Coturnix japonica: one gene and its partners. The protein of the gene in region 3 purifies or fractionates together with the protein of the main gene of each other region. This does not show direct contact. Links are inferred from orthologs where the notes say so. Each region holds a gene or a part of one and is shown on either strand. Other genes may lie near its edges. The genes, in order: XPO1, RANBP1 and RCC1.

Region 1 (9,651 bases), on a different chromosome or scaffold from region 3:
CATTTTGCTGCTTATAAGTGAGATTCTAGGCTGGAGCTAAAACATCCCAGGGCTGAACGAGAAGTGATAACAACACCCTGGCTAACTTCAAGGTCCAAAAAGATATTCCAATGTGTAACTCCAGGTACAGTTAAGATAAAATGTCAAAAGCAAAGATTCAGGCTCTGTAATTACTGACAACTGTTTACTTCCCCTGGATTTTCAGGCAGGCTGTCTTTTCACATAATTGATTCTCAAGTTAGATCTACACTTCTCCTCAGCTGATAAGCACTGCTACTGCTCCAAGAGAAGAATACTACTTTGTAATAAATGGATTTCGTTCCTTCATAACAAAATGAATAACAAAATGAAGGTTTTTCAGCTGTGTTTACTGTACAAACTGAATCAGATGCACTAAGTTTTACAAACTAAGATATAAGCAGAATTAATTGATTTGTGAAGGGATTTATTACAAAGCAGCTTGTTACACTGAATTTTGGTTTCCTGCACCCCCTATTTTACTAGTTACAACTCAAACCAGAAAATGCTGCCAACAAAAGGAGGCAGAAACTTTAACTCAACCAGTCTTCTCAACTCCCAGGTAATTAGACTGTCTAAATAAACTAAGAGCAGTTACCATCTACTATTCCAGCAGAATAAAAACAAAATCCCAGCAACTATTACCAAAGACTACATCAAACTGGATGAGAACTTCAAGGCCAACATGGATCAAATGTCACAGTACACGAGGCATTTGGCTGCTCTTCTACCGATGTACAGGAAAGAACAGAATTAAACGTGACCGGACTGATTTCTCCTAAAATAAGTTAATTTTACAATTTCACTGTGGCTTGTGAAAATGTTCTGAAAGACTTTATTTGGAGATATACATCTGTTGGGATGAAGGATACTTTTTTCTTCAGCAATCTTCAGAAGCACAAAAGGCAAGGAAAGCAAAAATAGAGTACAACTTCAGATAGCAATTGTATCTGTAACATGTTCAGCTACCTACTGCATCTGCTCAGATGATAACAACCAGCCAAACAGTACTACCATGCCTACTAGTAGTGAAGCAAAAATATAAAACACCATCTCAAATTCTGGAGATCATGTCTAAGTCACATATGCATGATTTGGCATCTGAAATCCAGATGTGATAACATGATGCAATGTATGGCCAAGCATCACCTCAGCACCACCACTTACACATTCTATACATTAAGTATTATTAAAACTTGAAACCACTTCTGTACTCTATTTTAGGCACTTGTTCAGTCCCAAACTATCAAATAAGTCTCTCTCTTCATCTTCTCCCATTTGACTGTAGTTTCCTTCAATAGGCATCAATCAATAAGCTGACCATAACTAATTCAACTTACTGATTCCTCCCTGCTTTGCTCCAACAGCCAAAAACTTTGAGAAGATAACTTCTGAATGCTAAAGATAAGTATTCATACTCAGGAAAATGGAAACCCGTGACATTTTAAAGTGAAAACGTAAGATCTTCAGGTTTCTCCCTCAGTTTCTCAATATGGCACAACTGCATTCAACCCCTTTTGGGTTTTTTTTTCCTAGAAGTCTGTAAGGCTGCTTCTAATAGAATTAAGTGAAGCCTTTTCAAGAGCTAGGCTACATCTGCCACTCTTTGAGTGGAGGTAAAGAAAATATTCACAAATGTTGAAGTCCCCCTCTCCAAAAATGAATCTTCACTTTTACTATCACATTTCATCAATAAACTGGCAGTGAAACTTCTGATCACATCTTCACAATGTTAGAAACAGCTCACAGCAGAACACAAATTCAATTGAGTTGAGAAATCAGTATTTAATAAAGAAGAACAATTACGGAATGGTGACAAGTTTTGAAAGTAGTTCTACTTAGTGTTTCTGGAAAAAAAATGTTAAGAGGTAACAACAAAAACCTCTTCCTACCTTCACACTGATTCCTCGGAAGAATCTTCCATCTTGTTTTTATCACATTTTCCAAGATTTGAAGTCCATAATACTGAAATTGGAGAATAGTAAAATGTGAGCATGTTACTGTACAACTAACTCACTGTCAGGATTTTCATTCAATCAGACATTCACATGTAACATCTACGACTTCAAGAACATTAAACTAAAAAAAACTATTAAATATGTCTATTCACCCATTTACTCAAGTTTCATGCATTTTTTTTTCTTTTAATTTTTGCTATACTAAATCCTGCTGTTTGATCATGCTCACACCAGAGAGGAAAAAAAAGAAAGAAGCTCTCTGGTAGACAATTTTGGCCTTCTGGAAAGGAAGAAGTGGCAGCCAGATATGAATTTGCATCATAAATGACTGTCCATACATTCAAGTACTATCACAACCAGGCTCCTAAAATATTTAGCAGCTTGGACGGTCTCAAGTTTCCTATCATTTCTCTAAGAGCTGAAAAAAAAAAAAATAAAAAAAAATCATGTCTCATCATCACATGTTCTGATGCTGGCACTTTCTAAGGAAAGTATTTCCCAAACTTCACTGGTGTGTTACTTTAGGAACAGCAAGACATCCCACAGGTTTATTCAACCTCAATACCCACCCCAATATGGCCAACTATTTCTACTATTTAAAGATGAACTTTCGTGCTCAGTCAAAAAGTATGCTTAAGTTCTTGGAAATTATTTTTTACCTTTCAGGAATTCCTTCCTAGGTTCTTTGCCAAGAACGTTCTATTTGCAAAGGAATTGGTAAGGACGCTCCCTCTGCCCATTTGTCCCTACTGTCAACTCATAGTAACAGGGAGAGAAGTTTTGATGTGATCAAGGTATATAAAACCCCATTAGCATGAATAGACAGCAGAGAAAGGGAGATGAGGAATTTTGCAATAGTTTTATCAGCTTAAGATTAGGAAGAATAAAATAAATCACATCAATACCTGAAAGGTAAATTCATGTTTATACAGTTAAAATTTTGGCTGAGAATAAGAGTTCCTCTTTAAAATGGTTAGTTGTTATATAAAGTAGGATCATTAACATTTCAACCAAAGGGATCACATGGACTTCAGCTTAATAAAAAAACACACAAAAGAAACAACAGAACAAAGCACAATGTAGGTTGTCCCAAACTACATTGTTCTATTAAAATCTTTGCTGTTTTCATCTTAACATAACCTACATTCCCCACATGCTTTCCTTTGTGACCCAAAAACCTCCACTAGATTAACGTGTAGATCCTGGACCTGCAAACCAGTGTCATCTTTTGAGATGCTGGGGCACAGATTAAAAAAAAAATTGAATCTATGGAAAATCATCAAGGTATCTTTTTTATTTTTCTTCAGTGTAAGCAATCGCAGTTCATAAACTGGATTTTAATCTGTAAGTTAACAACAGTTATTAAACACAAAAGCTAAATTAAATCAAGGAAGCATTAATAAAGAAAAATATATGAAAACTGTAAGTTGAATGTTTCACAGGCAGTGATGCATAAATGCCATTTTGTACCTGACCTACACTAACAAAACATTTACAGAAGCTTCTAACAACCTTGGGAATATGACTACTTATGTAAGACAGGGTTAACTGTCCTGAAGCAGAAGCTAGTTGTTTTATTTCTAGCTTGTGTAGGCACACATATTAACAGACTTTCCATGTTAACAGTTAAACAAAAACGCTGTTTGTTTCCAAACATTATTTTCCACAAGCCAACTTAACTGACTTTAAAAATCAGAATGGCATTTTACAAGAATTAAGAAATTTTTTAGAAACTACGGACAGAATTCATCTTCATTCTTTTTCTCTCCCTTAGAGTTTCACTGAAGTACTAGAGATGTCTGTCCTTTTCTTTAATGAAAGTTGCCATACTTTTTCCCCATTATGCACTGAAGAACCCAACTTAAAATCATTTCCTTAGAAGCTATAAAAGTTCACTTTCTATGTTTCTACAGAATTTTGCATGTTTTCTGAGTTCTGTCTTCTGCTAGTCTCTTGTTCATCTCCTCTCACCTCTGGTGCCAGTATTATTCATTTCTAATACTTGTGAGGGAAATGAAATGGGAACAGTAATAAAATCACCATAAATGACCTCTACTCATGCACCTTTATTGCCATGTTGTGTTAAAAGTATCGTGTGCTGGCTTTCTTCGTTGCTGTTGCTGCTTTTAAACTGAAGCTACTTTCAATTGAGTGGCTGCAAAAATTTGTGTTATCTTTATACCAAGGAAATACCAAAATCTCAAAAAAATCTCACCACTGTCAATTTTAAGTTCTGCCATCTGAAGTATCAGAGGTATTTTCATTAATTCATCAAACAATATGTGCAAACATTTAAACTCAGCATAAAACAGAAGCCTTTCCAAAATGCATTTTCTCTTAGTTTATTTCTAATTGTTTAGCAGCAATTCACTACCAAGTTATGAAGATGAGGGACAGGTAACAGCAAAGACTGAAAGAAACCCTATAATGATCCCTATGGTAGAAATTTCTATGATACCCTTATTACTTACTCTATACACCAAATCCCTTCCCTCCCACCTCCCAAGAAACAAAAACAATTGATGAACAGAATTCAGTTAAAGGGAATCAAAAGGGTAGACCTTGTGGAGGCCTGCCGTCAAAGCCTAGCTGTGTCAGTTGCACAGGAAGACACCCCTTTTCTTCCTATTACAAGCAATCAACATAATGGAACATTATGATTAATATCAGGTAGTGTTAACAGCTTTAATTAAAGAAAAAATATGATTGCATAAAAGCCAAATGTCATAGTGCATAAATTTAGCACCAAATCATTTGCAATTTATGTAAATGGAAGAATTCTTTACCTGTTGCTTTCTTTCTGTTCCTCAAATCATCTCATTTTTCACAAGACAAATTTGAGTTTTTAAAAATACTGTTGGTAAATCAACTTAAAAATTAGTAATGTCTGTCAGTATAATAAGCAAAGTTTACCAGGCAAGCAAACAGGCAAACACTGTTACTTAATGGTTAGCACTTTGAGGAAGTTCTTTAAATTCTTTTTTCCTAAACTTTAAAGTAATGAAATTGAACTCTTTCACAAATACCTCCTGAATTCAGAGACCATCCAACCATGATTATTTCTTTTCCAACACAGTTGCGTATCAAGCAGAAAACCATGCCTATCAATTACTTAGGATAATAATTATCAAACTTAAGACAGTGGAAACATTTCAATCAACTTTTCTGTTCAATCTGCAGAAATCTTATTCTAAAGTAAAACCTGTAAAGGTATTGTCAAAAACTGAACGCTATCCCTTTGACACTATCACGATGGATTGATTTACAATGGCAGTGCAAAGCAAGTTTGTTTTCTATATTAGTAAAGACTAATCTCATACTACAACGAGTTTGAGGTGCTCAACTTTCATCAACTGTTCAAAATAGTGGCCTGTTTCTATTTTGTCTTCAATACTCTTAGGGACAAATTATCTCCTCAGTTACATGCACATGGCTCTCATTCCATCAAAGACAGCCAAGCACTTAACCAAGAACAAAATGTAATGAAAAGCCTCCTAGAGCCACATGTATACACCGATCTTTGAAGTGGCATTATGCATGTATATGTGCCTTGAAAAAAAAAAAAAAAAACTTAATTCCAATTCAGTTCTTCCTTTCTTTCTTTCCCTTCCTTCCTTTGAAAAAGGAGGAATACTCTTGTGAACATAACAAAAGATTTAAATATTTTGTCCATTTATAGTTTCTGTTTAAAGCCACCTTTGGTAATAAGACAACAAAATTGTGGTTTGAATCAAAAGTCTATGGCTAAAAATGAGATACCTTCCTCAAAGTTCAGGAGTGGAAGAAAGATGAAAATCAAATAAATAAAAGTTTATTTGCTTACTTTGGTATTCATATTCTGAGAGAACTCCAAAATAGTATCAACTCTTGTCCATGCATCAGGATGTTCTTTTAAGTGAGTCAAGACTTCTTGAGCCATTCTTTGCTAAAAGAAAATTTGGAAAAAAAAAATTATGATTATTTAAGGAAATATATATATAGTAAAATTAAATATATTAACATCATGTCACCTTTGAAACAAGTATTCAAGACTTAGAACAAAATGAGAAGCAACAGATCACAGATTTCCTTCTGTCAATTATAGCTTATTAACAATCAAATTCAAGAAATGCACTACTGCAAGATGGTCACTGACTTACTTCCACTCCTCCATACAGAACGGTCAATCTAAATCAATACCAAACGTAAGAAAAGCACACTCAAGGAAAGTATACTAGAGATGGAATCTGTCCTCCTTTCAACAAATCTAGATAAAATTTTATCCAAGGGCACCCTAGCTTGCTTTCTTGTTTTATTCTGAAGAACAACTGAGCAGAACCAAAACTCTCCATTTACCCTATTTGAGAGGAAACCCATTATGTATCCACTAGCTTAGAAAAGCAGAAACTACTTGGGGGGCAGCAGGCCAGCTGGTCATGCTAGTCCTTAGGTTTTTCCTTGAGACTGACACTGCCAATTACTAGATATCACAGCTGCAATAACTTGCAAAACCTCATCTGAGCCAACTACGCATAAAAACAGCTCAACTAATTTCAGATATCTTTTTCAGGCCTGCATTTTCATAAACATCCGTTTTAGAAAGCCTAATGTTAGCCATTTTTAAAGATGCAGTATACCAACAAACCCTGCTGTAAACTGCATCGCCTACAAGCACCGGACAGACACTGCCTTCCAACAACATGAACATCTTCCAAGTTACAAGAAACAAGTAACGTGACCATCAACAGAACTCATTCTTTCACTGCAGGGCAGATCCAATTCAATGGAATTAAAGCAGTTACCACTTTAACTTCCCCAGTTACAACTTTATTACAGATAGCAGATTTCTAGTTAGTTGCAAGAGTGTACTTGAGCTGCTGGGGAAAAAGGAAACATCTACATGCCTTCCCTAACACAGAAACCCCATCAAGACTCAATCAATAAGAGATCAAATAAAAATTCAGAGCTGAAACAGTAAACAGCAAGGATATATGAAGTATCTATGAGATATCAGCATCTCTTCTTAAGACTACTCGCTATAGTAGAGCATTCCACAGTCTAGCACCGACTTTGAATTGCACATCCTGGTAGGTGCCACATCCACTAATACCACACATACATTCATTTTTACTTAAAAAGGCAGTACAACCATTCTCATACAGTTCCACAGAGGTAAAATATTCAGCAATTTTGATGTAGTTCAGCTGTACTAAGAGGGAAAGAATCATTTCCAGGCTCAACTTGAGCACTCTTTTATACTGAACCTTCTTAGTGCTTCTAATACAGGTGACGTATCACAAAACCAAGCATCAATACCAACAAGAAACATGGTCAATATCCTTCTCTCAGGTCCTATAAAATACACTCCCTTACCCACTAATATCTAACATGACTGGACAGCATCTCCTGTTACATGCAAGCAGTAATGCTTGACCAGGACTGAAGCCTCTGTTCTGTTGCCACAGAACGGAAAAATAAGCGAGTACAACCTTTCAGAGCACAGGACAGTCTAACAAACCAATAGAATGTAAGTGTCTGTGATGAGCAAAGCTAAACATCTGTCTGAGCTGTCTCAAAACTTATCACCTGTTGGAGCATTCTTTCTTTCAGAAAATACATGGGGGGGAAAAAAAAACAAAACAACAGCTAAGAATAGAAAAAAAATCTCCAAGTCTAGGAAAGAACAGCTTGTATTTGCCTACAACAGATCTTCGGATAGTTTTGCAAGCGGTAGTAAGAACTAAGCAAAAGACAGGAGATATTCAGAGATGAGGGGAAATGGCCTCAAGTTGCACCAAGGTAAGTTTAGGTTGGATGTTAGCAACACTTCTTTACAGAAAGGGTAGCTAAGTACTGGAATAGGCTCCCCAGGGAGGTGGTTGAGTTGCCATCCCTGGGTGTGTTTAAGAGCCGTTTGGATGTGGTGCTCAGGGATATGATTTAGCAGAGGGTTGTTAGAGTTAGGGTACTATGGTTAGGCTGTGGTTGGACTTGATGATCTTCAAGGTCTTTTCCAACCTGGGTGATTGTATGATTCTAACTGAATGCTTACTCAGTAATGTAATACTTACACGTAACTCACTTAGTTTAAGTAGCTAAGTTTACTGAAGTTCACAGCTTGCAGTCTAAGGCTTTCACCAAGTTAAAGAAAGGAAGGTCCCCAATTCTAGCCAGAGGATAACAGATTCATCCCTCAGCAGGAGATACTAGCAAGTTAATCAGTACTGCATCCCTGCCAGCATACAGAGGAAGGATCCAATGAGGAATAAGAAGGCCCCGGTTCCAAACATTACTGTTGGTCTGAACGCACATGTAAGGTGTAATGCTTGATCCTATGATATACAACAGTTTTAAAACCAGTAAGAAGGTCCAGTATAAAAACTTAGAAGAATTTGACCCAAACTCAGGTGTAGTAACCCTACAGTTGGAATGAGTGGAAAGAACTGTATGCTGGAATCTACAAAGGGCATTATCTCACTGGAGCTGCCCTCCATAATGGGGCTGCTAACTGCGAGTGGATAAAGTCTCTGGTGGTATGAGTGGGACCCCATGAAAGATGAAGCAAGGGCTGATTTAGGTGGCACAACTCCTAATGCAAGAACAATGGCAACTTGACCACTATGTTTAGGGTTAATCCTTTAGTCTTAGGATACTACAAGCACCATCTGCATTTAACTGGCAAATTTGCTATGCTGACTTAAGAGAACAAAAATCTCTACTATTGAAAGCAAAAGCTAGAAGCAGCTTTCTGTGACATCATAATTTTAAAACCTAACACTAGTAGCTATTTGGGATGTTGGAACCTGAAATTGCAAGTGTCTCAAGAAAATAACCATGGGATTTTAAACATTGGAATTAACATTAGAAAGCCATACACAAGCGTTTCATTAAAAATACACAAAGTATGTACAGGCAAGTATTTTTTTGTTTATTCTAATAGTTGGAAGGAGAAAAGCAAAGGCATCAGCTACTCATCTCATTAATTTATTTTTACTGTTGCACAATAATACACAAGTAATAGTTGCTTGACACTGAAACTCTCCATTTCTTAAGCACGGACGATTAAAACTTGCTGTAAAAGAAACTATGCCAACATCCTTGGTAGCAATACATGCCATCAACATTGAGCCTTCCTTCCCCCATAGTTCAAAAAATCAGTAAAAGCAACATGTATGAGATTCAGTTTCAAGACAGGATGCTTGCACACTCTCTCCTCAGACTTCACATTAAGGCCAAAGAATAGCATGAGAATAACCTGTGTGCAAACACACACACACAAAAAAAAAAACAGTAATATGGGGAAAAAAAAATAGATAAAAGGGCAAAATCTCTTAATGCCTCTAATATGCTTCTTCGTAAGTATAAATATCCTAACACTACAAATATTTTTCTCTTTAATATAATCCTTCAGTGAGGCCAATACTGAGTTTCTGACTTCACAATCCCATCCAGAATAGTAACAGGTAATTCAGACTTTCCTGAAACACTGAGGTACAGGGGGTGAGCCGCAAGCAAAGACGCTCATGCTAAATTGCACTTACTCATCTCTTCTAACAGAAAAAGGCAAGCAAGGTACAAAAACACACTGAACTAACATTTCAACATTAACTGCATCGGGACTACTTTAAACACAGGCATACAAATCACCAATTATATTCTTGTCACCAGCACAGAAAAGCCATTAAGATTAGTATTT
Region 2 (10,268 bases), on a different chromosome or scaffold from region 3:
GTCAGAATTCAAGAAATACCACCTGAGTATTTTAATCACTAAATGAGTGTCCAATATAGTGACAGCAAAACACAGCACTTGGTCAGCTTTAGTGTTACTGGTAACAGAGTCCATACAATGTCCAGTCAAGGGAATCTCCCAAGTCTGCAGCTTCTTGTCTACCTCAAATGAGAACCACCCCCTTCCCGAGACTCCACCTCCCCAGTCTGAAACTGGGACAGACACGAAGTTCCTAAGAGTGAAGGATTCTGATCTGAATCTCAATAGCACTGATCACCAAATACTTGTAACCTGTACTTTAGGAAGATGGAAGTGTTTATTTCACAAGATATGCTATCTTGTAACAGACAATTGTACATACAATGCATTAAGATATTCAATAAAGGCCCGTGAGGAAATGCTACCACTTTAAATACAGAAGGAACAATTGAATGTTCTATTTCCATGCTTATGTACTTGTGGAATGTGGGATGGGGAACTGGAAGGAGGAAATATCACTGTGGTTAGAGTGCTCGCAGTTCACTCGTGTGCTATAAACTGAAAGCACTTCTGCAGCAGCTCCAAAAAAGAGAAAAGGAAAGCAATGTCCCAATAGCAATTGTAACAGCCTTCCACAAGAAAGAAGGCAACTCATCACGCCTGTGAGTGATTACTCTTGCAGACAGAAAAAGCACCTGAACTGAAGGCGGCAGTTCGGTACAGAGTGAGTCTGCTCAAGCACAGAGATACACTGGGGGCTAAAACCACTCAAACAGAAGAGGCACAACGTTTATGACTTAACTCTTACCTTTTTTTGCTCTCTTGTCTACTTCAATTCTGCATTCTTCAAACTTTGCCTTGAATTTCTGTGCATCTGTTCCAGTAAAGACAGAATATTTTTTCATTAACTTTGTCTCCTTCCAACACTGACTGTTTCTCAATTATCTTCCCTCAAAAATCAGACATTGTATAAAAAAACTTGTAGGTACTTATAATGTCATCAAATTTAAGATCAAATGAAAAGCTCTAGAAAGTTTTTCAGCCACTTCTTTGTGCAGATCTTCAGCAGCAAGTCTAAGAAAGCCTCTTCACACCTTCAAAATACTTCAAATAAGACTCCAGAAGGAACTACACCGAGGTCAGTACAACTCCTAGCTGTCCCTGCCCCACAAAAATAAGAATACACCAGTATCCTAATATTACCATGCACAGAAGACTGAAGATTAGCTATGAACTACTGTCCTTCTCCACTGCAATACACCCCAGAAGAACTCACAACCATACTACAACTTTGGGTCTCAGCATCAAATGCTGAATATAAACATTGAATACTGTACTAGTGATACAAAGACTGGAATTCAAGTTAATCTTGACTACAATAGCAAAGGAAATTTGATTGTTCTTATGTTTTGCCCTAAGTTGCCATAAACAGTGTTTATACACAGTTAATACAAGCAACAATAGATTGCCAGACTCATCAGTCAAGGTACTTCTTAGCACTATAGCCATACACACAGCACCTGGTACACCAGCTCGGTATGACTGACCACACGAGGTCACTGTTGCCCTACAGGAAATTCAGAGGCCACTGTGAACTAGTTCAAGAAATACCAACTCCTTTTCAAGCATCCCAGAAAACACACCTGAAGGGCTGACTCACATCTGCTCACCTGCCACCTGCTTAGTCAGCATTACGTTTGCATGAAAAAAATTAAGTTTAAAAGGTTCCAAGAGCATAAAGCTCTGTAAATATTACTGAGGACCTGGCTGTCATACCGTACATCAACACATAGTAAAATACGTCTCCAACTTCTCTCAGCGAAAGCAGCAATGAGCTAATGCTACTAGGCAGCAGCAAGGAAGCATATGTAACAGTGGTTTGCGGTATAGAGTATAATACAACAAGTTCAGCAGCTGTCCACTCACTTTCCGCGTTTAAAAACCGGATTGCCAGCAGCTCAGGCTTGGGGCACTCATCTGCGAAGTCAGCATGAGTGTTCCAGACCCATGCCCTGTCGCTTCCAGCATTGGGCCTCAGCTCCATTAAGGGTGTGACTGAAAAGCAAGCATGAAAAGAGGTACAGAGCACAGTAATATATGTTGTCCACACCAGCCTTCATAAATCTGAAGGATTTGTTGCTTACATAATGCATTTTATAGAGAATTACTTATGGATAAATAAAAAAACACCAGCAGTATCCTTTGCACCCTCCAATACAATGACACAATGCCATTCCTGTACAAAAGACTGCTAGATTCACTACGGTGCATCTTAATTCTGTTCCAAAACAAATGACTTCTATACTTACCCCAAGAGATGCAGGCATTAAGCACAATCCTAAGGAGCAGTCAAATGGTTTAGGAAGAAAAGGCACTCAGAGGGGAAAAGAACATTGTTTTGCACTCTGCAAATATGGTATACTACAAGAAAAACTATTATTCCTACACTTAGTTCTCTAACCCAACTGACTGGGGGAGTTTCAACGTTACTGCTCACACACTCAGCCCTCACAGAGTTCAGACACGTACATTCCTTGCTTCTCCCTGTCCAAATCCTGGCTCTTGTGCTTAGTTCAGGAGAAATCTAAAGACAGCCAACTCACTTCCTTGCATGTATTTAAATATATTTAGAGATGGAATTATGCTGTTTCATTTAATGCTCTTAAGAATGAAAAAGGGTCCTTCTGTCTGCCTGCCCATCACCAGAAATTCAGGGAAAAAAAATGTATACTGCAAAAAGTCTTTCCAGGACAAACATCAATTTAAGTGGACATTTCCCTAAAGAAAAGGCTGATTACTGTTACTGGTTGGTGACTGTGCTACTTTTGCATTTGTCTTTGACCTTCTGCAAAGGTTTGCCCATAGAAAAATAAACATCATTGCTTCTGTTCTCAGATTTGCATTGTTACTTTAAGCAATTATTTCAAACTACTTGAATGTAGCTTAACCTCAAAGATACTAAATGCTCTATCAATAACAAAGTATTACCAAGGCTACAAAGTAGACTAATTTGGTAATAGTTTCTCATTCTTTTATGAAAAAGTCAGCAAACATTCTTTATAATAAACAGTACTAAGGCCCACATTGTGACCATTAAAGAACAAAGCACTGGGATCAATGACACTGTGTTTGTCCATCCCAGTTACATTTCAAAGTGTCTTCAAACATCAGCACTCTTTGAAACAAAGAACTTCCAGATTCAGTGCTGCAGGTTATCATCAAAACTACAGCCTCCTTCCATCCATAAAGATGAGAACTCATGTTTTGATACATGGCTTTTGTGGACAGAGCAAGAAATGACAGCATTTATAGTCTCCTGTAAGTTGGACACTTGCTTTAAGAGGCAGCATCTCTCTACCTACACTGCTAAAAGCCACCGGGCTCTTGAGTTTCAATGTATAAAGCTCCATCAAGCTTACTTAAAAAACAAACCACACACACACACAAAACAGTAGCAAGTATAGTAACACATAACATACTGTAATGGTTTGCGCAGATTTTTAGAGTTTTATCCCTCCTCATGAGGAGGCGAATTGTTCCCTTCTCCTTGTGCTTTAGGAGTTTTACATCACCAGTTCCTCGTTCTTTCCATTCTGGAAGCTCATTCTCAGATGCAAATCGGAACAGCTTTGCTCGCCTTAAAGAAGGAAGAACGTGAGAAGTTAGCCTGTATGTAACAGCTTACTGAAACAACACATCCACCTGTATGGTACAGCAGATGTTTTTAAGCCACGCAAGAAAGAGAAAATGTTTTGAAAGAACCTTGGGTGGTTCTGTGAAGTGCCAGGAGTTGGACTCCATGAGCCCTGTGTGTCCCCGCCAGCTTGGGCTACTCCGTGTGATTCCAAATAGATCTTTGTCTGGAATGTGCCTAGATCCTATGCTGGTCTTCCATACCTTTTGCACTATAAGTTTTAGACCAGTATCACATACCTTCAAAACTTTATTTATTATCCAAGTTAATGTTTTCTTTTGGGATAAAAGAGTCAATACTAAAACCAGATTCATGACACCATCTCCTTCATGCTATTCCAGACCTTCATCAGTTCCTTGGGGACAGTGCTGTCAGACCTCCCCAACTCAACCTCTGCCATTAAAGTAAATAGCAGTGAACTTACACTGCCACTTCATACAGAGATTCCTAACAAGTCATCCAACTTTCTCGTAACACATTAAAGCTTGAGTACAATAAGCAGCCAGATAATGCGTACAAGTGTTCTACTTACATCTTGAAGAGCTCTTCCTCATCCTCTTCCAGAGTCTTTATTTCCTGCTCTGGAAGGGAAACTATGGGCTCAAACTGAGGATCGTGGTTGGAATCATCTGCATTTTCAGTAGAGGTATCGTGCTCCTCATGTGCTTCCTGGACAGGGGAAAACAAAAAAGAAAGCTAAACATGCTGCACACTTACATTCACAACTACTCAGCAACTGGATCTCAGCAACTGAAATATGTGTTAAAATTAACCAATATTCACAGGTGAAAATTAATTGCTTTATGTCGATGTGCAGTTAGACTAAGAAAGAAGCAGCCTCATGCTGGTTTTGTTCTACTGTCCTGGCCTTTGGCTGCTGAAAAGTCATTTCCCCATCATTTTTCCAGTATATGCACTTAATGCTACTAACAACCTATTGTTAATGGGGGGGAAAAACATCACTAAAGAAACCACCTCCACCAGCCCAAGTCCATCCAGACAGGCAACAGAAGTTCATTGTTCTCATCCTACGTGTCAGAACTCCCCACAGCCGCAGAGATTTCTGAAGCACAGTCAAAACACTCGCGAAGTGACTGAAGTTTTTTTCCTCCAACACAACGCTCTTTGAGGAGCCTTGTTTTTCATTGAGGGTAAATGGCCAACATGAGGCTTCCTATGCAGTTGCTCGGGGTCTGCCCGCACAATTGCTGGGCTCAGGAAGTCTGCAGGGGCAGCTGGTGAGGAGGGCACGGCACCATGACTACATGGCACGGTACCACGACTACATGGCACGGTACCATGACTACAGGGCACACGGCTGTGCTGGTAGGGGCGCTCAGTGAGGAGCCTTCAAGGGAAGCGCTCCGCAAACTCAGCGAGGCCACAAACATGGATCTCGGGGGGACAGAACCGGTTCGTGCCTTTTTGTTGCCGCAGCCGGGACAACACAAAGGCGGATCACACACACACACACACACACGGGGCCTGCATTGCGCTCAGTGCGGAACGGAGACAAGACGGGAAAGAACGGGGCAAAAACTTTCGGTTATCGGCGATCGCTGCGGGGCACGAGCGGCCCCGGCGGATCGGAACGTTCAGATTGAACGGAGCCGCCATACAGCGTCGGGATATAACGAGATAACGACGAGATAACGAGAGATAACGAGATAACGAGAGGAGCGGAGCGGCCCCGCAGCCCCGCCCCCGGCACACCGGGCCCCGCCGCCACGTGCAGAGCGGGCAGGGCGGTATCGCGACAGGCGACACGTGGGGCCCTGCGGGAAGGAACGAGGAGTGAGCGGGAACGGCAACAACAGCCAGAAACGGCCCCGGGGAGCGGAACGGAGCGGAGAGGAACGGAACGGAATAGAGCGGAACGGAGCGGAGCGGCTCCTGCTGCTCCCCATGGCAGCGCTGCCCCAGCCGCCCTCGCGCAGCTCGGCCCACAACCGGGCCTGGGCCGCGGCCTCGGCCCCGCGCGGCCCCCACCCGCTTCCGTTACCGCCATCCCCCACCCCGGCCCGCTCCCCCGCCGCCTTCCCCCCCTTATTTCCCTCCCCCCGTTCCCATTCCCCACCTTATTATCCGCCATCCTCCCGTTCTCTCCCGCTGTCTCAGCTCTTCCTGCCGCGTTCCCGCCCCTCCCGCCTTTACCTCATTCCCGCAGCCCGCGCCGCCGCAAGGCACGATGGGAAACGGCCCCTGCCCTCCGCCCGCCCCGCCCCTGCTCTCCTCTCGCGGTGCTGGGCCGCGTGTGTCCGTGTCCGTTTGTCCGTGTGTCCGTGTGCTGCTGTGCCGTGTCGGTTCGGTTCCGTGTCGGTTCGGTGCCGCCCACAGCCCCGCCCGGCACCCGTACCCCCGGCCCTGCAGCCCCGCTCTCCTCCCCTCCTCTCTCCCCGTTCCCCCTCCCCCGGCCGTGCCGTCCCGTCCCAAGATGGCGGCCGTGCTGCTGCAGCGCTGAGCCCGCCGCTGTCTGTATTGTACCGGGTCGGATCGCACGGTTCGGTGCCGCTGTATTTGAACACCATCATCGCTGCTGATCGTTCCATCCCCGTCTCGCTCCGTGCCCGCTCCGCCCCATCCCGCCATGGACGCGGCCGAGGTTGGCCCCGACGTGTACGGGTACACCCGTGCGGAGCTGTTCACCTCCGAGATCTACAAAGTGGAGATCCAGAACCTGCCCAAGTACATCGGCTTCAACGACGTCAAGAAGTTCCTGGCCAAGTTCGGGCTGAGCCCGCACAAGATCAAGCTGCTGGGCAAACAGACGTTCGCCTTCGTGACGTTCAAGAGCCAGGAGGAGCGGGACGAGGCCGTGCGGGTCCTGCACGGCGCCGCGTGGAAGGGCCGGGCCCTCGGAGTACGGGCGGCCAAGCCCAAAGCCGACCCCATGGCGAGGAAACGGCGGCAGGAGGAGCGGGACGGGACCGGGACGGAGCCGGCAGAGCCCGTCAGCAAACGGATCGCGGACGTGGTGACCCCGCTGTGGGCACTGCCCTACGAGCAGCAGCTGGACGAGAAGCGCCGGGACTGCGAGCAGCTGCTGCAGAAGCTGGCAAAGTAATGGCACCAAGTAATGGCACCAAGTCATGGCACCAAGTCATGGCACCAAGTCATGGCACCAAGTCATGGCACCAAGTCATGGCACCAAGTAACGCCGCCCTCAGCCCGCAGTCGGGCACCTGAGGATGCCAGCACAAAAGGGCCTGTGCAGAGATGGCCCGGTGCCACCGGGATTCCCTTACAAATTATCCCCTCGGTTTTCAAGCTCAGTCTTTGTAGATCGAAGTATTTGTTCCATCATTTCCCTCAATCCCATAGATAAAGTCCCACCTGTGCGCTGGGTACGTTCTTAATCTGGTACATAGAGTTAAAGTTGTACAAAGTGTCATTTCCTGGGGCTGCAGGTCTGGTAACTTGAGAGATCTGTTCCCCTGTTAAAACGTGGGTTTCCTCCAGGAGAAGAGTTTTTCCTCTGGTAACTTGTTATGTCCATTGTGGGCCATGAAAGGATAAGAAAAAGTCTTTTGTAACTGTCAACCTCACTCGTTCCAAACACACACTTTTTAATTGTTGTTTCTGATCCGGGCAGGGAAATTGGAAATACCAACAGAGCGCTGCTGCCCTGGCTGTTCCTGCAGAAGCAGAAGTACAACAGGATGTGCTGCCCTGTGGAGGGAGTGAAGGCCTCACCATTACAGGTAACGGGACGCTCTGGGAGCTCAGCCTTCAAGCAGCCGTCATAAGAGACAGTGAAGCAAGTGAGGGTTTTTCTTCCTCTGTCAGTTAATCACCAGCTGTAGGCATCGTTGCCTTTCATGTAAACAGTGCCTGGAAAAGTTGGCAAGAAGCAGAACAATCTGCCTTTAAATACTGTGCTGTCCCCAGCAGTGTGTTGTAGTTAGTGTAAGTGTGGTGCAGGGAGCGCAGGAGTTTGCTGTTGGAATTGCAGATCCTGTTGGTGCTTTATCACTATGGCCAGTAGCTCCCCTCCACCAAAGTCTGGGACTGTCTGAAATGCCCTGTAGGCGTGTATGAGTATATGAGTATCTGAAATGTACCTGCAGCCACATGAGAGTAGTTCCAGGATGGAACAGTTGACAAGGAGGTGCTGTATAAATCTCTGACGTAACTTTATTTTAAATCTAGACCGAATATCGCAACAAATGCGAGTTCTTGATTGGGATCGGTGTAAATCAAGAAGACAAAACTGTGGGTTGTCGTCTTGGCAAATACAAGGGTGGTACCTGTGCTGTGGTGGAGCCGTTTGATACCATTCACATTCCTGCTGCTGCCAAAAAAGTAGTAAAGGCTTTTCAGGACTACATAAGGTGAGCAAAAGTGAAATGGGGTATCTGTGAAAGTGTTGATGTCCCAGATACTGAAGAGTACTCATAGAATTAACTATGGACAGTTGTAAATTAGCTGCTTGTTTGGCTGAATCCTGCAAGACAACCTTAAAACATTGATTGCTGAGCAACAGGGCTTTCTTATAAGTGATTTGTTTGAAAAGCAGTTAAATCCTCAGCAATTGAAACCCCCAAATAATTGTGAAGATGGGCAGCTCAACTTGCTGTTAAGGTTCTTAAAGTGTTTCATTTTCAGACCATGGTGAGGGGCTGCCTGTGCTCTCTGTCAGTTTGGATGGATTAAAGCGGAGGAGGATTGAGAAGAGCTAAGGGCAGATTGTTTTGCAGGAGGAGACAGGATCTACTTCATCTGTCCTTTTTTCCTTAAGATTTGGAAGTCATTCTTTTCTCTGCAATCAATGTAGCCTCTGCTTTAATATTGTTCATCACTTTACCTGCTGAGCTGCTTTTGTTTCAGTAAACTATTGAATGTTATTCCCTCACAACAGTTCCTTGTTAAATTACTGAGCTGCTGCACATTGCAGGTCAACCCCTTACTCAGTTTACAGCCCAGAAACCTACGAAGGTCACTGGAAGCAGCTCACGGTCCGAACCAGCAGGAACGGCCACATCATGGCAATCGTTTACTTTAATCCTCAGGTATTTGAGATGCACGACACACTGCTTTAAATTACATTAATTTGATTTTCCAAACAGTGCATGTGAAAGAGAAATGGAATAGTTATTTGGTACTACTTTTCTACTTAAAATTATCCAGTACATGTAAATGAGCAATTAATTGACATCAGTAAATTATCTTCTCTATTATATACTGCTTCTGTACAGGTGGCATGTGGTAAATCATTTCTTTTAAGTCACAAAGGTGATTATTCTCCCTCCTTTCCACTGAAACCTTTAGAAATTAAGCAGAGAAGAGCTAGCTGAGCTGAAGGCCGCTCTGGCAAAACACTTCACTGAAGGGACGGGGAAGGAGAGCGGTGTTACCTCCCTGTACTTTGTGGAGGAAGGCCAAAGGTAACGGGACTCAGCTTCGCCCCGGGGAATTTGGGTGGTGGCAGTTTTGTTAACAGTAACATCGGTGGCGCTTCCACACCCTTAGCTCACCTGTTTCTAGTTCCTAAAGGTAACAGCAGCGCTACTAATTAGCCAAACAGTTATTAAGCTTTCCCACAAAACTGAAACCTCCGCGTCCCTGTAGCGGTGCCTGGAGAAAGGCAGATGGCATTCCTGTGGGTGAACCCTCTGACTGGGTAACTGTCACACTGCAGAAGAGTGTGCTGCACCAGATGGCCATTTGCTCTCAACAATCAAGTTCTGCCTCTTTTTAGACCCAACTGCGTATAAATAGAATAAGAATTATAAGAAAAAACGTCCAAGACGACATTCTGTAAAAGAACACGATTGGTGTTGCACACTATAAATTACTATCTGGGATCTATCCAGCAGTATTGCTTTGAAGATGACTCCAGCTTTGGGAAAGATGGCAACAGGTAGACTTATGTGCTTTTTTGTTTGTTTCTCCCCTCCCAGGAAATCCCCCAATCTGGAAGATTTGCCTTTGGAGCACGTGGCTGGCGATAAATACATCTATGAAGAACTTCTTGGCCTGAAGTTTAGAATTTCTCCTCATGCATTTTTCCAAGTAAGGATGATACTGAGCTGCTAAATGAACTACATTTGCATCATTGCCTTCAAAATTGGTTGCTTCCCCATAACAAGATAGCATATACTTAGGAGATGTAACCTTTCTACCTTCATTGTGATTGAATACATTTAAGTATTGTGTTCTGCTGTACAAGCTCAGTAAATGAGCATCAATGTTACTGGTGGGACGTCAAACGTAGCTTCTCCTTTCACTGCTTCAGTATTTTGATACCATTTGTTTCCTGCTGAGTGGCCTTGTACAGAACGTGCAGTAGCAGTTCCATAATCTTTGTAGTTCTTGTTTCCTTCTCCAAGAGGTAATTCTTCCCTCCCAGTGCTTTTAATCCTGAACATGTAGTCTGTGCTGGTGGAACGGAGTTAAGTGCTGAAGCAGAAGGAACATAGAAACCAAAACATTCTATTTCAGAACCAAATTAAACTTTTGTAATGGTGTCATGACTTGGAAGTCAGCCACACATGACATTAAGTTACATATAAATGGGACTTGTTTCTTAGAAATGAGGTTGAAGAAAACCTGCTTTCCTAGAACTCATTCACACACACTTACTGTTATGAAGTCG
Region 3 (10,302 bases):
TTGCAGCTGTCCTTTTTTTTCCCTCTGCTGAGTTCGTGCCTGGCTGTATTGAGCTCGGTATCAAAGAGCAGTTCACACAGCACTTCAAAGCAGCTGGCTCTTGGTTTCATGCTGCACCGCATGTCCTCTCCCCTACCTTTTCAAAGCCTATGGCAGCCAAACCTGTACACTCATCTGACAAGATGCTCCCACACCAGCTGCAGGTTGCTGATCCCCCTCCAGCTGCAGGCAACCTGTGCTGTCCCACCCCTTCAGCTGGAAGGGCATTGCACAGGGATGCTGGCTGTTGCTGTAGTGATCAGACCCAGCAAGCTGGGAGCTGTAGTGAGCTGGGAAAGCAATCCCTAGGGGAAGCACAACTGCCAGTGTCTCCTTTCACTGTTCTCAAGCACTGCAGTCTTCAGTCCTATCCTGCCCCTCTCCCACTCCGCAGGCACGCTGGCTAACAAGGTGAAGAGGAAAGACACGCTAGCTATGAAGCTGGGGAACACCACCACAGTGCAGGAAGAAAAGATTGTCTTCCCTCGGAAAAGCAAAGAGGAGTGGAATGAAATTCGGCAGCAGATCGGGACGACGCTGATCAGGTACAAGGAATGGAATGGAGGAGGGTGGTGTGTCTGAACCACGGGCACGAGCTGCTGCTTGTCTAAGCAGCCTCTGCTGGAGCATGGCAGGTGGCTGGGCAGTGCTGCTGGGTCAGGGCTGGAGGCTCAGTGTTGCTTTTCCCTCAGTTACCAAGGCTGGAAGTCTCTCCTGGAGCAGAGCACTTGAGTAATGTCTCCTAACAGGGCTGTTTACAGATGTTAAATGCGTTGGGAGGGGAGAATCTCAAGGACTACAGTAATATCACTGCTGTAAAATACAGTTGACATATAAAGATGTGAACAGCTGTGTGCTGCGTGCTGATGCTCGGGCTGTTGATATTCCAGCCTCTGTCGGCTTGTCTGCACTGAGAAGTTGTCCCTGAGCTTTTGAGGGGCCACAGCGCCTTCCTCACTTGGGCCTGTGGGTGAGCTGCTGTTGGAGTGGAGTTGAGCCTAAAGCAGGACAGCAGTGGCTGGTGGTCTTTGAACCAGACTGATGGATGAGCAGATAACACATTATGCACTTGTCATGCTTTTCTTTAGGCGACTGAGTCAGAGACCCACAGCAGAAGAACTGGAGCAGAGGAACATACTTCAGCGTGAGTAGCACAGCTCTAGTGGCTCCAAGTGGTAAAAGCTGCCTTGTTTTGCATCTGACATTCTAGTCCAAGTGTACGTGGAGTCTGCTTGAAATGTAGCCATGGAGGTCTGCGCTTTGCTTACATCGCTGTACTAAAGCCATAGCAGGGATAGCACACAGTCCAGTTCAAAGCATCCCGTTATGGAAAGGCTGTCCACCCCCTGACAGCTCAGGGAAAGGTGTGCAGATTGATTAAGACTGCTCTGAAATGGCACAGCAAAGTTTTTGTTTGGACTGTTTGTCTTTGTGGCTCAGACATTACAGCATTGTACTGCATGATCCAAAAAGTTCATTGTTCAGTGAGCGCTGTTTCTTTTGGCCATACCCTCTACTGCAAAAGCTTTAAATAAACATATTGGGGAAAGGGAAACATCAGTTCAGGAAGCTTTACATATTTATCTGCGCTGCTTTTCTCTTCAAAACTCTTCCTATAATAGCTTTGGGGAGGAGTAATCTGCAAAGTGGTTCTGAGGGTACGGCCATTAATCTTAAATACACAGAGAGCTGGGGAGAATGACTCATTCACGCTGTGTCAAGGCCCACCAGACCACTGTCATTGAGCGGGGTGTTGCTAAGCAAAGGTATTAACGGAAGGTGCTTTTCAAAGCCTGTGATGCTAACAGGAAAACAACCTTTGTTTGTTTTTTCCACTTGGCAGCGAAAAACGAAGCTGACCGTCAGGCTGAGAAGAGAGAGATCAAACGTAGGCTGACCAGAAAGGTACTGCTGGCTCTCGTGCTGCGTTGGCCATCTGGCAGAGCTGTCGGGGTTGGTGGTGGCCGTGAGGTGCCTGGCTGTGGGTGAAGTCACGGGGCTGTTGTGTAATTGTCCCCAGTGCCCTCTGACCGCGGGTGACTTTGGAATGCGGGTTGTCAGAGCTCTTGGCACCACAAACAGGTTTGGCGCTGACAGATTTGAGCTGGCATCAAGTGTAACAAGCTAGATGAGGACTCAATTTGGCACCTGGTACTTGAAAGGGATGCCGGCCTGTCCATAGAACTATCATTCAGTGGCTGTGATGTTCACATCAGGCTCCTTGAAATCCATTTCCAAACAGCTGGAGAGAAGTTGTGCAGAGAAACAGCTGCTTTAGCTATGGTGCCCAGGTTGCACACTGCTGTTACTCATTGCTGGGGAAGAGCTTCCCATGAATGCCAGTGTCATGGTGAACAGGAGCTTGGTTCTGTGGCCCAGGACCAGTGAGGGAACTGCTCTTTGCCGTGCATGGTGTGACTGGTCCTGAGCTGCTCTAGAGACAAGGCACAGACTATTTTCATTCTTGTCTTCAGCTTAGCCAAAGGCCTACAGTAGCAGAGCTGCAGGCCAGGAAGATCCTGAGGTTCAACGAGTATGTGGAAGTAACTGATGCTCAAGACTATGACCGGAGAGCAGATAAGCCATGGACAAAGCTTACACCTGCTGACAAGGTAACAGGGAGTGCCCTGGCCCCGGGGAAGGGCAGGGAGTTAGAGCAGATGTCCCAAACAAAAGGGTGAGAGCCAAGGTGTGAATTGCTTGTTCTTTCCACCTCTGGCACCCCCACTTACTACCACCAGTTTGGTATGGGGACTGCCCAGCCTTGGTTGCAGAGGAGGTGGAGCAGGTTAAACAGCCTGGTGTGAAGTGACTGCGAAAGGTGGGAGTGGCTGCTGCAATCTGAGCTTCTTTCTTTACCAAAAGATGCTGAGGGATTCAGGCTTATGTGTAAGATCTGCTGTAACTCTTCCCTTTACCAGCAAAAGGCGATACAGATCAGCCCAGAGCAGGAATGCTGGAGCCACAGCGCCTCCCTGCCATATCTGAAACTCACTTAAAATGGGGGATAGGAGATAACAGGAGATAACAGCTCTCACTCTCCTCTTGCAGGCTGCCATCCGGAAGGAGCTAAACGAGTTTAAGAGCTGTGAAATGGAAGTCCATGAGGAGAGCAAGCAGTTCACACGGTGAGTGAGCACATACCATCACAGTGCCTATAGTACCAACCTTAGCAGGGTGTGCTGTACCTCCTCAAGGATCATGGAATGCTGAGATTCTGCTTTTAGGCTCTATATGTCCTGCTTATCAAGGAAAAAGACAGAAGTAAAATGTGCATCGTGCCCCCCATGGCTGAGCTGTGTTGGCAAAGCACAAGAGCTTTGTAAGGCAGAGATGAAAACTTTGGATGTTAACAGCTTTTTTGCAGTTGGTAATGCTTCAGTCAGTGCTTAACCCAAGTTCCAAGGGTGACACTGGCTTTTTCACTTGGCTTTTAGGTACCACCGACCATAACCTTCCAAGAGGGAACAAGAGACCCAAGATGCCTGGAAGTTCTCTGCATCCCTCACCTGGGCAATACAGCGAGGGCACAACCTCGACTCTTCCAAGATTTGCCTTCAAAACGTATCCAGCAAAGGGCTTTCAGCCAGGGAAGGGGGATCCTGTCTGAATGTAGCATTTCACTGGAACAAACAAGTCTCGAGTGCCATCAGGCTGGAACTGAACACTATACCTCGTGCAGCTCAGCAATAAGCCTCTCTTCTGGCTCCAGCATCCCTGCCAGAATGCACACACACAAGCAAAACGGTTCCTTCCCCAGCTTCCTGTGGTGCCAGGCCCAGTTCTCAGCTGCACATATTGTGAGCAACCCCTTTGTTTCTTCTTCCTTACCAAGAGGAGAAAAACCAGCTGGCAGCTCTGGTGCTGTTGAGCCAAGGAATGGAGGGCAGATGTACTAGGAGACACGTGTGTAGAGTTACTGGTGCAGACGCTGTCCTGGCAGACAACTGCCATCAGCCTTGTTGTTTTCTGGCTTTGCTTCCGTCTGTTGTTACCTTTCATGTCCTGAATCACTACTGACCAACGGTTTGTTGTCCTGGAAGGGAATTGTATAGAAATTAACATATGCTGCGTCTTTTTGGTTTCGTTTTGTAAAAAAAAACCCAGAAAAATGAGCAAAAAAAAGAAAACACAGAGGTATAAAACATTCCCTCCCCACTCTCTCACGCTCGCTGTGATGTCAATGGATCTCATGGAGGTTAATAGTGCTCATAGAACCCAGAAATGACTGTTGCCTTTAAGAACTCTTTGATTTGGGGAAGCTGTGACAGCAGTCAGTGCTTTCCATCGCAGCTTCCTCTCAGCTCTTTGGGTTATTTTTTACTCTCCCAAATCAGGGTTGAATTTGCCTTGTCTCATTTTATTTTTGTTTTTACAAGCAAAAAACCTACTGGAAACTTGATATTGATCACTGTGTGAGTGGGAGCTTTAAGAAGTGACCTTAAATCGTTCATACAAACTCACCTTATGGCACTGAGCGTGAAGGGACGATGGCAGCACTGTGGGAAGGCCTCACTGCGCCAAGGCCTGAGGTAGGCCGCGGCCCTCACAGCTTCCCCGTGTACAGAATGGGCTGTAGACTACAATCGCGTTGTATATCTGTCTCCTCAAACAGATTTTAATTATTGAATAAAAGTATTTTAGGAGTTTTGGCTTTTTTTTATCGTGTTTAAGCCGCCCGGTTGTGTTTCGGGCGCCATCTTTGAGCGCGTGTGTGGAGACGAACACAACCGCCCTTCCCGCCGTTCCCGCCTTCCCGCCGTTCCCGCCCTTCCCGCTCACACCGAGCAGCCAATCACCGCGCTGTGCACACGGCCCGCGCGTTCCGCTCACTGCGCCTGCGCAATTAGGCCACGCCCACCCCTCACTGTATAAATAGCGGCGCAGCCCTGAGCTCGCTCTCTTCTGGCGGCGGACGGCGGCGTGAGCAGGTGGGTGGTAGGGGGAGGTGGGCGGGGTGCGGCCTAGTCTGGCCTTGCTTTCCTTTGCGTCTATACAGCCTGTTTTCTGTTTTATTTCCTACTTGTGATGGTTGGTAGGGCCCACACTCCCGGCTCAGCCGGCCCTCACAAGCGTTGTTCTCCCCTAGGCCGGCTGGTCGTGCTGCACTGCGGCCTAACCCCGCCCGCTGCCGCTGTGAGTATCGCTGCGCTCCGCTTGTATGGATGGAAACGGGGTTGGATGGGGGGGGATGACACACATACACAGCCAGAACCCAACGAGGGCACCCGGAGAAGTAGCTCTCTCTCGGCTCTGTCCGCGTGGCGCACGGGAGCGTAGGCCTGAGGGCCCGAGACGTATATTCCCCTTCCACATCGTTGGAGAACAAGCCGGGCCTCGTGCCTGCAGCCTGCATATTCCTACTGCTTCTCTGAGCCCGTCGGGCAGTGACAGAGGAGATAAACCATGCAGGAAACATCCGTACAGAGCGGCTGTGGGGCACGTTGGGGGGTGGAGGGGTTGTGGGGGGGGGTTGGCTGTGGGGCACATTATGGGGTGGGAGGGCTGGCTGTGGGGCACATTAAGGGGTTGGGGGGCTGTGGGTCAGCCCCATAGCGCTGTGTGGGGTGGAGGGCTGGAATACTGGGGTTGGGGGGGTGGCAACATGCAATGGGAGCACGTAAAAACCATTTGGGGCTTGGAAGTAATGAGGTTTTCTTGATGCTTTTGTTAATGCAGATGCTGGAGATCCGTAGTTAAACGGCAGCAGCTGAGTCTGTGATGGTGAGTATGAACTGAGCACAGCGTGTGAGTGACCACAAATAGATGGATGTAAGTGTGACGTCCAGGCTGCTCGGTGGAGGTTGGAGCAGTGTGGAATGGGGGGGGGGGGGGGGTGTCAGGCCGTGCTGCTCCCTGCTGCTCCATTGCCCCCCAAGCGGCGTTGATTGATCCAGGGGGGCCCCTCATTGCAGCTGGGGGTGGTGTGAGGTGCCTTGTTGTATCAGCTGGGACCTGCAGGTCTTTATACAACGTGTGTGCTGCAGCCATCAAGGGGGCTGAGGAAGGGAGGGACCATTTGGTTGGGTGGGGGGGGTGAGGGGCTGCAGCTGGGGGGGGGGGGGGGGGGGGGGGGGGTGTTTGCTGTGTGTCACATGGGAGCTCTGGATTCTTCGTTTTATCTGTGCCTGCCAAATAAATGATTTTAAAACGCTGCCGTGTGGTTATTTCCTGTGCTGTGGGTCATCCTGTGTATGGGGGGGGGGGCTCCAGAAACACTGAATAAGTGGAGTTATTCGGGCTGTGTGTGGTTGGGTCGCCCACCCCTCATTGGGGCTGTACTGGGAGCTCGGTGCCGTTTGTAAGCAGTGCTGTGGGGCTGAATGGACTCTATGGGGTAGCAGTGCTGTGGGGCTGAATGGACTCTATGGGGTAGCAGTGCTGTGGGGCTGAATGGACTCTATGGGGTGAGGGGGGTGTTGGGCCTTAAGGCTAAAAAGCGATTCCTGCTGAGCGTACTTAGGCGTTGTTTCCCTCTGTTAAGCGAAGGACTTAACGGCTGCTTTTATCCCCGTTGGCTGCTTTTATCGGACCTTTGAACGTTCGGAACCGGACCGTGAGTAGCTTTGGTTGATGGGAAGGTTCCCTACGTGGTTCGGGGAGCAGCAGCCCGGCTGTAGTACGGGGAATAGGGGGGATGTGGGGGGCGTTAATATGGGAAATGGCTTAGAGAGGGGAGAAGGAGCTTGGGGAAGGGGTTGTTAAAGGGGGTCTTGGTGGTGGGGGGGTGAAGGGGAACCGACCCCTGTGGAAAGGGGGGTTGAAGGGGCGATGAGGTGAGATACCGGCCGGGCATTGCGGGTCTTAGCTCGCGGTGTTGGGGGCTTTTTAGGCTCCTCAATGCGAAGATCCCCCCGGGCTGGGAGGGCCGCTCCCGTGCCCCGAGGAGGCGGCGCCGGTGCCCGTTACCAGCAGGGGGCGCTGTGCCGCTCGCCGCGCCTCGGCGCATGCTCGGGGCCGGGAGCGACGGCGGCGGCGGAACGGAGGAGGTGGGTGCGCGGATGTGGGGGGGGGCGGGGGGGCACGGAATGGGGCTGGGGGAGGGGGGTGGGATAAAGGGGAGAAGGGGGAGGGGTCCGTATGGCCGTGCCGCTCCCGGAGCCGCTCGGTTTGTCCGCTGGTGCTTGGAACAGGCCGGGCCTGCGCGGCACCACGTGGGGTGGGGAAGTGGTGGAGTTTGGGGGGGGGGGAGGTAAGCGGGAAGTTCGAATCTGCGGCCCCACGCGTGTCCGGTGCTTCATTCAGCGGGTGGGTGCATAAAGATGGCCCCATTCAGCTGGCCCTATTCAGCTGGCCCCATAAAGCCTCGCTGGCCCCATTAACCCTCGCAGCCCCCCCGGCCCCTTCCCTACACCGTGCGGTGCTGGATGGGATCGGGATGTGGGATGTACCCAGGGAGCTCCCACGTCCCCAGCCGTGGTGGGACACCATGGTGGGACACCGGACACGGCCCCGTTCTGCAGCTCCACGTGGGGTCGTTTCACGGTGGGATATAAAGGTGAGAGTGATGTGTGTTCTCTTAAAGCTGGAGGACAGATCGGAGGCTGAGTCCGGACGCGGTGCTGTAACACAGTGAGAGCCGGGCTGGGGACAAGCAGGGTTTGTGTCCAGCACAGCCGACCAACAGCTGCAGCTCAGCACCCTGCGGGCTGGGCAAGGCCTGAACAGAGCAGCTTTCATTGCTCACATCCATCCGACATGTCTGCGAAACGTGGTGCCAAGAAAAGCCTCGTGTTGGAGAAGTCTCCTGAAAGGAAGAAACTCAAAGGTAACGCAACCCCACGGGGGGCTTCTCATCCCCCTCCATCACAACCCCATGGGGGGCTGCTCATCCCCCACCATCACAACCACACGGGGGGCTCCTCATCCCCCTCCATCACAACCCCATGGTGGGCTTCTCATCCCCCTCCATCATAACCCCATGGAGGGCTTCTCATCCCCCTCCATCATAACCCCAGGGCAGCTTCTCATCCCCCTCCATCACAACCCCATGGGGGGCTTTCAATCCTCCATGCATAACCCAGGGCAGCCTCTTCGTCCGCTCTATACAGCCCCACGGGGGGTTCCATCCCCCTCCATCATCAACTATGGGGGGCTTCTCATGCCTTCATCAGCCGACTGGGGGTCCTCATCCCCCTCATCACACCATGGTGGGCTTACTCGTGCCCCTCATCGAACCCTACGGGGGGTTTCCTCAATCCCTCATCACACCCAGGGCAGCCTCTCATCCCCTCATCTCATAACCCATGGGGCTTCTCATCGCCTCATCTAACGCCCAGGGAGCTTCTCATCCCCGTCCATCACAAACCCATGGGGGCTTCTCATCCCCTGCCATTCCATAACGCCAGGGCAGCCTCTCGTCCCCTCTATCACAGCCGCCACGGGGGGTTTCTCATCCCTCTCCATCACACTATGGGGGGCTCTCATCCCCTTCCATCACACCCACTGGGGGCTCCTCATGCGCCCTCCATCACAACCATGGTGGGCTTCTCGTGCCCCTCCATCGCAACCCTACGGGGGGTTCCTCATCCCCCTCCATCACAACCCCAGGGCAGCCTCTCATCCCCCTCCATCACAACCCTACGGGGGGTTCCTCATCCCCCTCCATCACATCCCCACGGGGGGCTTGTCATCCCCCTCCATCACAACCCTATGGGGGGCTTCTCATCCCCCTCCATCACAATCCCATGGTGGGCTCCTCATCCCCCTCCATCACAACCCCATGGTGGGCTTCTCATCCCCCTCCATCATAACCCCATGGGGGGCTTCTCATCCCCCTCCATCATAACCCCAGGGCAGCCTCTCGTCCCCCTCTATCACAGCCCCACGGGGGGTTTCTCATCCCCCTCCATCACAACCCTATGGGGGGCTTCTCATCCCCCTCCATCACAACCCCATGGGGGGTTCCTCATCCCCCTCTGTTTTCCCATCTGTCCTTTCTGCCCTCAGTCTGCCACCCGTCACATCGCACTCAGCCCGGCCTGGTGCTCGTATTGGGTCAGGGGGATGTCGGACAGCTGGGCCTGGGGCAGGATGTGATGGAGAGGAAGAAGCCGGCCCTGGTGCAGCTGCCGGAGCTGATGGTGCAGGTGGAGGCAGGAGGGATGCACACCGTGTGCCTCAGCGAGACGGGCAAAGTGAGTGAGCTGTGGGGGCATGTGGGGAGCTGGGTGGGGGGCTGAGGGTCCCCTGTAAGCATAGGGAGCTCCAGGAGCAGGGGTTGAATCATGGCTGGGGCTGCAGCCTCCCTAAAGCTCCTGGATGGTCTCTGTGGTGCCTTGGAAACATTGGGGTGTATGGGAGGGGGGGGTAATTCAGCCTGGTGGGTCCCCTGGTTTCATGTGCTTCCATGTCCCATCGTAACCACATCCCTCTCTTTATAGATCTACACCTTTGGTTGCAATGACGAAGGTGCCCTCGGGCGAGATACCACGGAGGAAGGCTCAGAGTGCAGCCCTGGAGCCGTGGAGCTGCAGGAGAGGGTGGTGCAGGTCTCAGCAGGGGACAGCCACACGGCTGCACTGACGGATGACGGCAGGGTGTTCATCTGGGGTTCATTCCGGGTACGTTGGCTGTGTGTGTTGGATGCTCTGCTGCTGGTTGCTGGGAGGTATCACTGACTCCTATATGTGCACCCATCATCTCTTCTCCACCCAGGATAACAACGGGGTGATCGGGCTGCTGGAGCCCATGAAGAAGAGCACCATCCCTGTGCTGCTTGAGCTCAATGTGCCCGTTGTTAAGATTGCCTCAGGTCAGCAAAGGGCCCCCACTGTTCAGCATTGGGTGAGGGGTGAAGGTCCAGAGGGTTCCTTCCCTATTTGCTGTGCTGAGCTGGGTGAAAGGATGGGCTGCTGTGTCTCTTGTAGCCCCTGTGGTGGTTTAAACTCAGATGGGGTCAATGATTAACACATTTAGCAGTTAGTTAGGAGTTATTATATACAGTTTGGTTGGTTGAAAACGCTTTGCAGTTACTGCCCTGTCACAGCACAGGGTCAGGGCACTCACCCTCTTTAGATATAGGGAAGCCAAACAGAGCAGCCAGGGAGTTTGCCCGGGATCCAGGTGAGGTTGGAGGCTTCCTGTGCCTCTGAATGATCCATCAGGAAGGGATCTGAGGTGTGTCAAGTGATCCAGAAGCCACAGAAACCTGGAAAGCTTGGACAGATGGGGCTTGGGATGTGGGATGTCCCCTTGGTGGGCTCTGGGGGGTGACTGCAGCACTCACTTTCCATGTCTCCTTACAGGGAACGACCATTTGGT

What was found.
Region 1: the proteins of RCC1 (region 3) and XPO1 purify together in Homo sapiens (affinity purification with mass spectrometry; 3 studies listed by BioGRID and IntAct, with this or other methods). This does not show direct contact. The link is inferred for Coturnix japonica from reciprocal best matches to the Homo sapiens genes RCC1 and XPO1.
Region 2: the proteins of RCC1 (region 3) and RANBP1 purify together in Homo sapiens (affinity purification with mass spectrometry; 3 studies listed by BioGRID and IntAct, counting the BioPlex papers as one, with this or other methods). This does not show direct contact. The link is inferred for Coturnix japonica from reciprocal best matches to the Homo sapiens genes RCC1 and RANBP1.

The regions. Positions count from the first base shown.
Region 1 is NC_029518.1:5,192,131-5,201,781, reverse strand, and holds part of XPO1 (exportin-1), read right to left. Parts: intron 5,902-9,651; coding exon 5,800-5,901; intron 1,984-5,799; coding exon 1,911-1,983; intron 1-1,910. UniProt on the Homo sapiens protein: Mediates the nuclear export of cellular proteins (cargos) bearing a leucine-rich nuclear export signal (NES) and of RNAs.
Region 2 is NC_029530.1:1,020,369-1,030,636, reverse strand, and holds the start of RANBP1 (ran-specific GTPase-activating protein), read right to left. Parts: upstream 5,874-10,268; 5' UTR 5,766-5,873; coding exon 5,751-5,765; intron 4,343-5,750; coding exon 4,206-4,342; intron 3,617-4,205; coding exon 3,459-3,616; intron 2,035-3,458; coding exon 1,906-2,034; intron 854-1,905; coding exon 788-853; intron 714-787; exon of another isoform or gene 580-713; intron 1-579. Other genes in the region: TRMT2A (tRNA (uracil-5-)-methyltransferase homolog A), read left to right, coding at 6,261-6,733, 7,266-7,374, 7,823-8,004, 8,568-8,682, 8,942-9,057, 9,574-9,685. UniProt on the Homo sapiens protein: Plays a role in RAN-dependent nucleocytoplasmic transport. Alleviates the TNPO1-dependent inhibition of RAN GTPase activity and mediates the dissociation of RAN from proteins involved in transport into the nucleus.
Region 3 is NC_029538.1:1,925,321-1,935,622, forward strand, and holds the start of RCC1 (regulator of chromosome condensation), read left to right. Parts: upstream 1-4,898; 5' UTR 4,899-4,970; intron 4,971-5,128; 5' UTR 5,129-5,175; intron 5,176-5,254; exon of another isoform or gene 5,255-5,460; intron 5,461-5,626; exon of another isoform or gene 5,627-5,718; 5' UTR 5,719-5,763; intron 5,764-6,523; 5' UTR 6,524-6,595; intron 6,596-6,871; exon of another isoform or gene 6,872-7,028; intron 7,029-7,268; exon of another isoform or gene 7,269-7,287; intron 7,288-7,564; 5' UTR 7,565-7,737; coding exon 7,738-7,807; intron 7,808-8,988; coding exon 8,989-9,176; intron 9,177-9,422; coding exon 9,423-9,602; intron 9,603-9,696; coding exon 9,697-9,793; intron 9,794-10,286; coding exon 10,287-10,302. Other genes in the region: PHACTR4 (phosphatase and actin regulator 4), read left to right, coding at 434-584, 1,128-1,183, 1,883-1,944, 2,514-2,651, 3,091-3,167, 3,477-3,492. UniProt on the Homo sapiens protein: Guanine-nucleotide releasing factor that promotes the exchange of Ran-bound GDP by GTP, and thereby plays an important role in RAN-mediated functions in nuclear import and mitosis.